Linked DNA regions of Astyanax mexicanus. The protein of the gene in region 1 interacts with the protein of each later gene in a pairwise test. Links are inferred from orthologs where the notes say so. Each region holds a gene or a part of one and is shown in the gene's direction. Other genes may lie near its edges.

The links. The genes of interacting proteins can lie anywhere in the genome.
Region 2: the proteins of rab2a (region 1) and tbc1d25 interact in binary tests that used the Homo sapiens proteins (3 or more experiments, as listed by UniProt). The link is inferred for Astyanax mexicanus from reciprocal best matches to the Homo sapiens genes RAB2A and TBC1D25.

The regions. Positions count from the first base shown.
Region 1 is NC_064425.1:41,318,874-41,324,355, forward strand, and holds the start of rab2a (ras-related protein Rab-2A), read left to right. Parts: upstream 1-2,132; 5' UTR 2,133-2,434; coding exon 2,435-2,480; intron 2,481-5,482.
Region 2 is NC_064419.1:40,392,126-40,397,607, forward strand, and holds the start of tbc1d25 (TBC1 domain family member 25), read left to right. Parts: upstream 1-2,152; 5' UTR 2,153-2,306; coding exon 2,307-2,351; intron 2,352-4,706; coding exon 4,707-4,816; intron 4,817-5,482. UniProt on the Homo sapiens protein: Acts as a GTPase-activating protein specific for RAB33B. Involved in the regulation of autophagosome maturation, the process in which autophagosomes fuse with endosomes and lysosomes.

The DNA.
Region 1 (5,482 bases):
AGGTGTTGGTATTCAAGGCACCCCTTTAGAATGTTTTCTGTCCTATTTGTCTGACAGAAGTTGGTGATATTGTGAAAAACTCCAGCAAAATCGAAATCACCCACCTTAGCTTCTGTAATATATTTGCATTGTACTAAAATACATTAATATTCAATGGACATATACAGTGGTATGAAAAAGTCTGGGCACCCCTGATCATTTTTATGATTTTTCTTTATAAATCATTGGTTGTTTGGATCAGCTATTTCAGTTAAATATATCATACAGCAGATGAACACAGTGATATTTGAGAAGTGAAATGAAGTTTATAGGATTTACAGAAAGTGTGCAATAATTAATTAATTAAACTAAATTAGGCAGGTGCATAAATTTGAGCATCCCAACAGAAAATTTACATCAATATTTAGTATTTACTCTTTCTATAGCTTCCAATCAGATTCTGGCTTCTGGTTAAAGGTAAGCTTTCATCCTACAAAACATGGTCTTTGTTTCTCCTAAGGTTTCTTCCTCCTAATGTAAGGGAGTTTTTCGTTGCCACTGTCACCACAATTATTGGCATTACTGTGGTGCTGCTCATAAGAGGCTTACACCAGTTTTCTCTGTAAAGCTGCTTTGTGACAACTTTTGTTGTTAAAAAAAAGGCTATATAAATAAATTTGAATTGAATTAAACATTGTTTTCAAGAATCTGCTGATATTGACTGGAATCCATGTGATCCTCAACTTTAACAATATTCCCAGTTTCTGCACTGGTCCCACAACCCCACAGCATGATGAACCACCACCAGATTTTACTGTGGGGAGCAGTAAAGTGTTTGTGTTGAAATGCTGTGTTCTTTTTCCTCCATGCATAAATAACTGCCCTCTACATAATTTATTCCAAAATGAAGCTGGCTTGCCTAAATGTGCTTTAGCTTTATCTTTACCTCAAGCGACTCTGTTTGTGGCGCAGAAAAGGCTTCTTCTGCATTTCTCTCCCATACAGCCTCTCCTTGTGTAAAGTGCACTGAATAGTGAATAGTGAACGATGCACAGTGACTCCATCTGCAGCAGGATGATGATGTAGGTGTTTGGAGCTCTGGAGGTCTGTGGGTTGTCTATCTTCTCCTCTGTTTATCTGAGATTTTTCTTGTTCTGTCACTTCAGGTCTTAACTTGAACTGTGTCTGTGGTTCTTCCATTTCCTCACTCTGTTCCTCACAGTGGAAACTGCAGCTGAAATCTCTGAGATTTGAGCTTTTTGTATCCTTACTCTAAACACCATGATGTTAAACAATATTTGAGAGTTGTGTGTTTTGAGGCTCCCATGTTGCTGCTCTTCAGAAAAGATGCAAAGAGGAGGAAAACTTGCAATTGGCTCCTTAACCCTTTCTTATAATTGGATTCACCTGTGTATGTAGGTCAAGGGTCAGTGGGCTTACCAAACACATTTTGTGTTACAATAATTAGTGCTAAAGATATTCAAATCAATAAAATGACATGGGTTTGGTTTAAATTTGGTTTAAATAATTATTGCACACTTTCTGTTAATCCTATAACTTCATTTCACTTCATATCACTGTGTTCATCTGCTATATGATATATTTAACTGAAATTGCTGTTCAGAACAACCAATGATTTATAAAGAAAAATCATGAAAACAATCAGGGGTGCCCAAACTTTTTAATACCACTGTATGCAGCTGAAACAGGGAGCCGAGTGCATCCCAAATTTATAAACTTTAACATTTTATTATAACATTAAAGTCATTATGGCTTTTAGACAAATGTGTTTTGGGGAGGAGGGGGATTAGAGCACTATAGGACTCTAGGAAGCGGCCTAAGCTTTTGTTCTTACTAGCTTTATTTTTTCCTCTTATATTACTTTTACTTTTATACTTTAAGTAGTTTTGAAAACAGTACATTTACACTTTTACTTAAATAGTAAAAAGCTTGAGTTAATACTTCAACTTCTACAGAAGTATTTTAAACCCTAGTGTCTATACTTCTACCTACGGATACTTTTCACACCTTTGTTTATCTTTAAAAATCTGACAAAAAAACAAGGTACAGGTAGTTCGTATGTGCGTGCGCGTGCTCGTGCCTGCGCTCTCCACTGCTCGTGCTCGCGCTCGCTGGTCTGCTCGCTCTCGTGCAGTTCCGGTTGCGTGGCGGAGGCGGTCTGTGTGACGCAGCAGCTGCTGGAGCTCCGGGACGCTCGGCTGTTTTTATTGTTCCTTTAATAAAAGCGACGCGCAGAGAGAAACAACAGAGCCGCAGAGATAGAGAGAATAGAGAGAGAAAAGAGAGAGAGAGAGAGAGAGAGAGAGAGAGAGAGGGATAGAGGGAGAAAAGAGGAGAAACACAGAGAGAGAAAGAGAGAGAGAGAGGAGAGCTCTGTGTTCTGCTGGAGAAAGCTGCTGCTGCTGCTGCTGCTGGGCTGTATTAGCGGAGGGCGATGGCGTACGCGTACCTGTTTAAATACATCATCATCGGGGACACGGGTAAGATCTTAACACTCCCTTACTGCCTCACTCACTCCTCTACTCACCCCTCGGATCACTCCCGGGGTGAGACATGGGCTCACAGTGGAGAAAACGGGGTGATTATTGCTCCTACTTGAGCTGTTTGCTTGTTTTTTTTTAAAACGTGTTACACCGAAAACTGCAGCTGCCGAATTGTGTGACCCTAGAGGGTGCTGTTCTGCTATATCCGAGTTCCTTACGCAGACTACGTAAGTTAGCTATTTAAAAGAGTCGGATATGCTATATTAATAACAACATGATAAAAAATTGTTGTTTAAAGAATTTTGCATCACAAGTACAAGCCAAAAAAAATTGAAAAAAAAGATTGAAAAAAATCAATACAAATAAAAGATTATTACATTAGGATTAGGATGTGATAATAAAAAATTATGCATTTAGATATAATACAAAAACGACAAGAAGACAGACGAACTAGTACAGTACTAGTCAAGCCCAAAAGTAAAATAAATATATGTTTTAAAAATGTTTAAACATATTAACTAAAGATTTTGGTATTCCAGATCTATTATAATGTTGTAAGTCACTCGTAAAGCACTTTTAAAGAATGTGACAGAAGTGCAAATTAAGCAAAAAAAGGTATAGGTTTATTAATGGATTGATTGATTGGATGATTAAATAAAAAATAAAAATATTTTATGTGAAGAATTGAGAGGAAAATCTTTTTATAACATCCACAAGAAGCAGACTATCATACTTTAAATTATATTAACAATAAAAACTAACAAAAAATAAATATTGCATTTGTATCGTTTTATCATTTTATTGGATGTTTTTATTGTTATATTTTAATTGTTGTTTTTCCTCTGTTAAAGTGCAGACAGGCTTAATCATAAGGGGTTACCGATTCTGACAGCGGCCTTTACGTGGACAGAATTCGGCAGATCACAGATTTCGGTGTAACACGTAGGTTAGAAAATTGACGTGTAGAAGGAAAAATAAGCAACCTAAATTTGGGTGGGTTACACATTTTAACAGTAAAACACGCGTTTAAACAAACTGCACGGCTGTCAGAGTGGGACATCAGTGAAAACTGGGTGAAATTAGGTGTTATTTACTGCCTGCTTTATTTCAGACTGGGTGGGGGAAGGAGTTAGCCAGCATGCTAACGTTGACTAGCGCAGTCTGTCAGATTCTGCGCTAACAGAATATAGAGAAATGTAGTATAAAAACATATACACACATCTTTAGACCCGTTTTCCTGGGTTTAAGCAGATATTTATGTGCGTGTCTGTCAGAAACTGCCTGTTTATGGCTTCGTGTGTGATGCTAAGCTAACGTTAGCACCGCTAGCTAATCGCTAGTTTAGGCCACAGTGGCAGTATTTAGCTTTAGCATTAGCTTAGCGTTAGCCTGTCTGTCAGCAGATGTGTGTGAAAATGGCGTTTAGTGAGTCTGGCTTTCAGATGTGCGGCTCAGATCTTCTCAACAGGCTTTATTTATCAGCTCAGATGATGTGGAAGTGTAGGTGAGACTCTGAGGGATGGGGAAACGCTGATTCCCCGGGTCTGACTGTGGGGAGGATCTGTAAGGAGATGCCAGGCAAGGCCCTGCCAACCTGGACTGGCACTGGTTCTCCTCACTAGGGCTGTACGATATGAGCAAAAATTCATATCCCAATACAGTACATTTCATATCCTGATATACACGATATATACTACCACTCAAAAGTGTCTTTTACCACACAAAAGTGGTTATTTTTTCTTTTCATGTTTTTTTACATTGTACATTTTTTAAGACAGTTTGAAGACTGTCAGTAAAGATATATAGGAACACATGCTGAATTAGTAGCACATTTATCTTTGAGGACAGATCTTTAATCTCAGTGTCTTCATGAGGGAGAATCACCTGGAATAGTTTTCACAGCGTCTTGAAGGAGTTCCTGGAGGTCCTGAATCTTAAGCTCAACTCAAATCACCATCTCAGATGATCAGGTTTAGAATAGGGGATTGTGGAGGACTAACACTTTTTTGCTGTTTACCATGTCATTCCGTACATGTTTTCCCTTCTTTTTATGTATTTAATATTAATCTACAATGCAGAAAACCTTGTAGAAAAAACGTAGAATAGGAGGGTGTGTCCAAAAATTTGACTGGTACTGTATATCACGATATATCACATATACTGATATAACACTCAGAAAAAAGTATGTTTTCAGATTTTATTGTATTTTTATAAAATATTTTATTGTATTTTGTATAAAATAGTGATGCACAATGGTATCAGAATTAAATCGATTTCGGATAATAATTACTTCCTCTCTTTTTATAATCGGCATCAGCCGGTTTGGCCGATATTTCAGCCCAGTATTTTTTTGTTTTTAAAAAGGTAAAAAGTTTAAGTTTAAAGCTGTGAACAGACTATGTAAGGACCAGTTAGCTAAATACATTTGAAACCCAGAAAAATGTGAAACCCAAAATATGAAAGCAAATTTTTCATTTTATTGTTTGCATTCAGTTAGATTAAGGCTACAATGCAAAGCAAATGAATGTTACGTTTGTTCCTAGAGGTATACCGGAGTGTTTAGACTGTTAATAATAAATGTGTATATCTGAATTAGTTTTGGAAGATATATACATGTGTAACATCGAATATCTGCATCTGCCCAGAATTCATACATTGTTGCATTCATATTTTCAACTACACTGAAATTGTGCATCTAAATTACAGTCAGCATCATGAGTCAAATCACTTTTATATCATTTCCCTGACCTGCACATATTCCAGAACTCATCTGCTTTAACTCACCCTCCTTCCCTAAAAGCAGGTATTAATGATCTGATTAGTTGATCAAGTGTATTTGGAGCAGGAAAATCTCAAAGTGTGCAGGACAAAAATGATCAGGATAGAGAAACTGTTCTTTGAAGACAGAAGTTCATACTGAAATTCTTTAACTTAATTTAACTTAATTCAAGCCTGCAGAAACATGATGCAGTAGTGGTGTATATGTGATGTAAAGTGTC
Region 2 (5,482 bases), on another chromosome or scaffold:
AAAGCTATATATGAACATTTACAGAATTATTCTGTATATCAAAAAGTGTTAAACAAAGTAGCACATTTATCTTTGAGGACAGATCTGCACACTATTGGTATTTTGTCTTTAATATATTGAATTAGAATCAGAATTAATTAATATGTATGCTAATAAATCTGGATATATATTTTTATTTTAGCCTGTAGTCTTGCAGCGACATTTAAATAATAGTTATTAATATGATTATTTGTGGGAGGCATCACAGTGAGTGTAACGTTAGATACAGAAGAGCATTAACCATTCAAAACCTTTAATAAATGTTGATTCAGTGTCAGAATTTTAACACCAACCCATAACGTTAATTATTAATCAATGTTAAATAAACTTTGTATAAATGTAATTTTTCAATTATTACCCCTAAAAGATGTAATGCAACCCAAAAAATAAAGGTTTATTCAATGTTTAAATATCAGAGTGATCAGGATCCTGTTTAACCCGTCTGTGACAGTCCCTTTATAAACGCTCTAGAGCGGAACCCACCGGTCGCTCCTCCAGTGCTCTGGTAGCTCGCCGTGATCGTATAGTGGTTAGTACTCTGCGTTGTGGCCGCAGCAACCCCGGTTCGAATCCGGGTCACGGCAGACCTGAGTAAGCGTTACTTTTGAACATAAAAAATAATATTGTTTTATCATAATACGCATAATACGATATATACAAAAGAGAATACCCACTTTACAATTCAGGTTCGTCAGTATATATTATTTTATATTTACATATATATATATATATATATATATATATATATATATATATATATATATATATATATACTGATAAACCTGGATGATTTATAAAACACTTAATTACAGCCTTCCTCCAAATCAATATAACCTTTATTTAAATCATCGTTTGCGACTGTAGATATAAATAAAATGAAGTAATGGACATATGATGTCATGTGCCTCTCTGGCGCCTGCTGACGCCAAGCCAGGCCAGAGAACCTCTACAGAGGAGAATACGCACTTACGCACTTTACAGTCCAGGTTTATCAGTATATATTTAGAATATACATACCTATTATAGGTATATGAATAAAATGAACATTGGTATTTTATTCTATAAACTACGGACACCATTTCTCCCAAATTCAAAATAAAAATATTGTCATTTAGAGCTTTTATTTGCGGAAAAAGAGAAATGGATGAAATAACAAAAGCGATGCAGACCTCAATAATGCAAAGAAAACATGCTTATATTAAAAAAGTTTTAAGATTTCAGAAATCAATATTTGGTGGAATAACCCTGGCTTTTAATCGCAGTTTTCATGCATTTTGACATGTTCTCCTCCACCAGTCTTACACACTGCTTTTGGATCACTTTATGCCACTCCTGGTTAAAAAATTCAAGCAGTTCAGCTTGGTTTGGTAGCTTGTGGTCATCCATCTTCCTCTGGATTATATTATAAAGAGGTTTTCAAATTTGTAAAATCTAAGAAACTTATCAATTTTAAGTGGTTTCTTTTTTTTCAGAGCTGTATATCTATACAACCATATATATAGATGGTTGTATGAATGAATTGGTGAATGGATGGATAGGTGGATTTGATTGGATGTAAGGGTGGATCCCAATAGCAAATGTTTCAGTACTGAAGGCATTAATTTTAAAGCTTTTTAACTGCAGCTTAAACCTTTTTATCTCTGGGATCTAACATAATTGTAACTTCTGCATCAGCATCAGCTCACCAACCACTCAGCTCACAGTAGCAGTCATGCTAGTGACACTTCTACCCAAAACCCTTTCGCTGTAGAGAAACGAAACGGTAAAGTTTTTTGTGGGTTTTAAAGTACCTTATTATAATTTCTAAAATGTACTGAATATCATTGAAATATAGTTATTTACTATTTTTAATTTAAGTTTTTTGCTGTTTTTCTCAATTCACCCCATTCATTGAGGACTCAATCGCGGGCTCCATCTAGCGGTGCGAGGTCAATTTTATCTTCTAAATAAAGATTTTCCTTAACAAATAATTTGTATTATGCATTTTTAAGGATGTAATTCATTATTGTATTGTTTTATGTTCATTTCTTCTATTTTCTAAATACATTATGGGTATTAAAGTAATCAAGGCTTTGTTTTCTCACACCTGCTTTTATTGTGAAATCTGCCCGCTTGGCTTCGTTCGTTGACGTTCTTTCTGCCAAAGCTGCAGAGAGAAGAAGGGGAGAGCAGTGGAGTCAACATCGGCGTTTGGCCACGTTTCAGCTTAATATTGTGGATGAAGGTGGAGGATTCCTGAGCGAGGGTTTCAGCGTGGACTACCCGCCATGTCGGTCGAGGAGGAGAGGGGGGTAGTTCGTGTCAAAGTCAAGGTGAGGAGCCGGGGCGGCGGGGGGACCTGGAGCCGGGAGCCAGGAGCCGGGAGCCAAGAGCCGAGAGCCGGTGTTCTGTATAGTTGTGCTACCCTGTGAAAGCGTGCTACCCTTGTAGTATTTCTTTTTTTTAAGTTAAAAATACAGAAATATTAGAACCCGTAATAGAAAATACTCTTAGCAGAGGCCTAGGTAGGATATGTGGATAGGCTAAATCACTGTATTAGGTAAATTTAAAAAAGTTAAGGTAATTTACGTGATTAGAAACCGTTTTTTCCACAGTTTTTTATTTATAAATAAGTAAGTTAGATGTAACTTATACTTTATTGATTCCAGAGGGAAACTCTGGACGTAGCAGGTATACATAGTACACAGATGGTAAAAAAAATGATAAGATAGAATGATGCAGGTAAAAATACAATAAAAAAAAAGTATAAAAGTAGAGTCTACTTTCGTGTGTGTACTGGAGGTAGTGCAGTTAAACATGGTAAAACAACAATGTACAGCTAGTTTATTGTTATATTTAACTTCTACTTACAGTGTTTTGTAACATGCAAACAGGCTGTTTAATGCTCCCAATAAAAACTTAAGGAATTATCTAGAAAAACATGAAAACATATTCCAAAAAATATATATGTTGGACGGCGCATGCGCTTTACCTTAAATAAGCATCTATTGATGGGTAGCAAAACTCGACGGAACACCGGAGCGCGGGGAGCGGACAATAACACAGCGGCTAACGGCTAACCGCTAACACTAGTGTATTTACTGTATAACAGATGCTGAGAAGTGCAGCAGCTGGGCTAATATTACCTAAAGCTATGTTATCCACCTGTCCGCGAACACTGACACACACAAAAAAACTCAGATTAGCCCGATTAGACTCTCTTAACGTAAGAAAATAATAAAATAATAATAATAAAGCTAGCGTATTTCCAACCTGTTTATTAGTTGCTAGCCAACTAACGTAACCTAGCTAGCTATCTAGCTAAGCTAGCCTACTACAGCCGGTCAAATATTTAACTACCATCTGTTTTAATGCTGTATTTTACGTTTAAAACATGTCAGATGTCCTAGCTAGCTAGGTATCTACCTAGGTATCATATTACAAGTCATTTTTATCACCTGGTCCGTTTGTTATTCATGAACCGCTGTCTGGCTTCTGTTAGTCACTCAATAGTAGCTTAATTAGTTAACGTTAGTATTCTTGTGTTGTGTGCTTTTCTCTGTTTGTCTTTTTCTCTTCAGGGGAAGCTCGTTAAATAAATAAGCTTAAAATGTGGAGAAAAACAAAGCCACGGGTAGAAGCTTGTCACTTTTTTGTGTGATCATCAAAAAACAACCTAAACTCTCTATTTATTTTATTCTATCTTGATCAATGTCATTATCATGAGGTAGAGCTGTACAATATATTGATATTTTATTATATTGTGATCAGTTTTATTATAATGACATTGAGCTGGACAATATAATCTATATTTTATCACATTGTGATTAATTTCATTATCATGACATAAGGCTGGACAATATATTGATATTTAGTTTTACTGTAATCAGTTTAATTATCATGATGTAAAGCTCGACAGTATATTGTTTTTTTAATATGTTGTGATCAGTTTCATTATTATGAAAAAGAGCTGGACAGTATCTTGATATTTTATCGTATTTTGATCAATTTCATTGTCATGACGTGAGCTAGACAATATATATAGATATAGATATTTTATCATATCGTGATAAATTTAATTGTCATGATGTAGAACTGGACAATATATCGATATTTGGTTTTATTGTGATCAATTTAAATGTTATGACATAGAACTGGAAAATATATCGATATTTGATTTTATTGTGATCTATTTCAATTTTATGACATAGAACTTATTGAGCATATTAAGGAGATCATCAGTGCTAAAATAACACAGACCTAACTGTCCATTTCATTACATAGATTGTATAAATAAACTTCCTGTTAATTTGGATGACGTGCAGCAAAAATGAAATAAGAATCACTACTGAATCTGCCTCTGCTAATGCATTATGTCTATGTGTCAAAATATGATAAATACTGTGTATCATGAAAATGTCTTTAAATATTGTGATAAAATATGTTTACGGTATCACCCACCCCTGTCAGTGCTTGATTGCCTACAACAAGCGTGGTGGCCTTTATATTGTTCATAACGATATTGGAATTGTATCAAATTGACTGACAGCTAGATTTGTAGTTTCCTAATGCAGGTTTACATCAGTTACTCAATTCCTAATTTATGGACATTTTTATGAAATATCTTTCAATTCAAAGTACAATTTTGCTGATTGCTGATTTGCTCCTTTCTTTTTGTCTTTATACAGAAATGTGAGGGAATCCTGCCAGTGGAGTTTCGCTCCTTTGCAGTTGATCCACAAATTACATCCCTGGAGGTGTTGCAGCACATCCTTATACGAGCGTTTGAGCTCAATGGGTGAGTGTGTGCAGGTGGAAGTGAAGGTGTCGACTTTTAGCCTCATTAGTTGTTTAATTTGTATTGGAATTTCCAGTGCAGCAGCAGACCATTGGTATTAGTTACACCCACAGTGATAGTAAATGTAGAGCATGAGTAGTATAATATACTCAGTTAGTAACAGAATGTAACTGTGAAAATAGGAAAAAAATACATGAACAGCATGAGAGTTCTGAACACAACACAAAAAGATAGGAGTTTTGATTTAATGTCCATCCACCATCTTCCACAGAAGAGGAGCTATGTCTGTAGTTGACAGGACTAAATGTAACACATATATCTAGACACAAAAACATTTGATGTTAACATTAAATAGAGGACCAGCCAACACCAGAACATCCTAACCCAGAGAAATAGCTTGGATTTGAAGCACGGGCAAAGCATGTGGGTCGGGCTTGCTGTGCCGTTTAACCGCCAGCCACAAAGAACCAGCACATCCACTTTACTGGAGCTTCAGAACTGGGTTTCCCTCCACAGAATGGTTTGAGCAGAGGTACAGACACTTATGTTGAGCTCCTTTAGCAGCAGGAGCAGCTTCTTTTTTCTGGAGGACAGTGGCAGCTCCTCACAGCACTTATCTTTTTGTGTGTTGTTTTTTTTTTTTAAAAGCTGGTTATGCTGTAAATA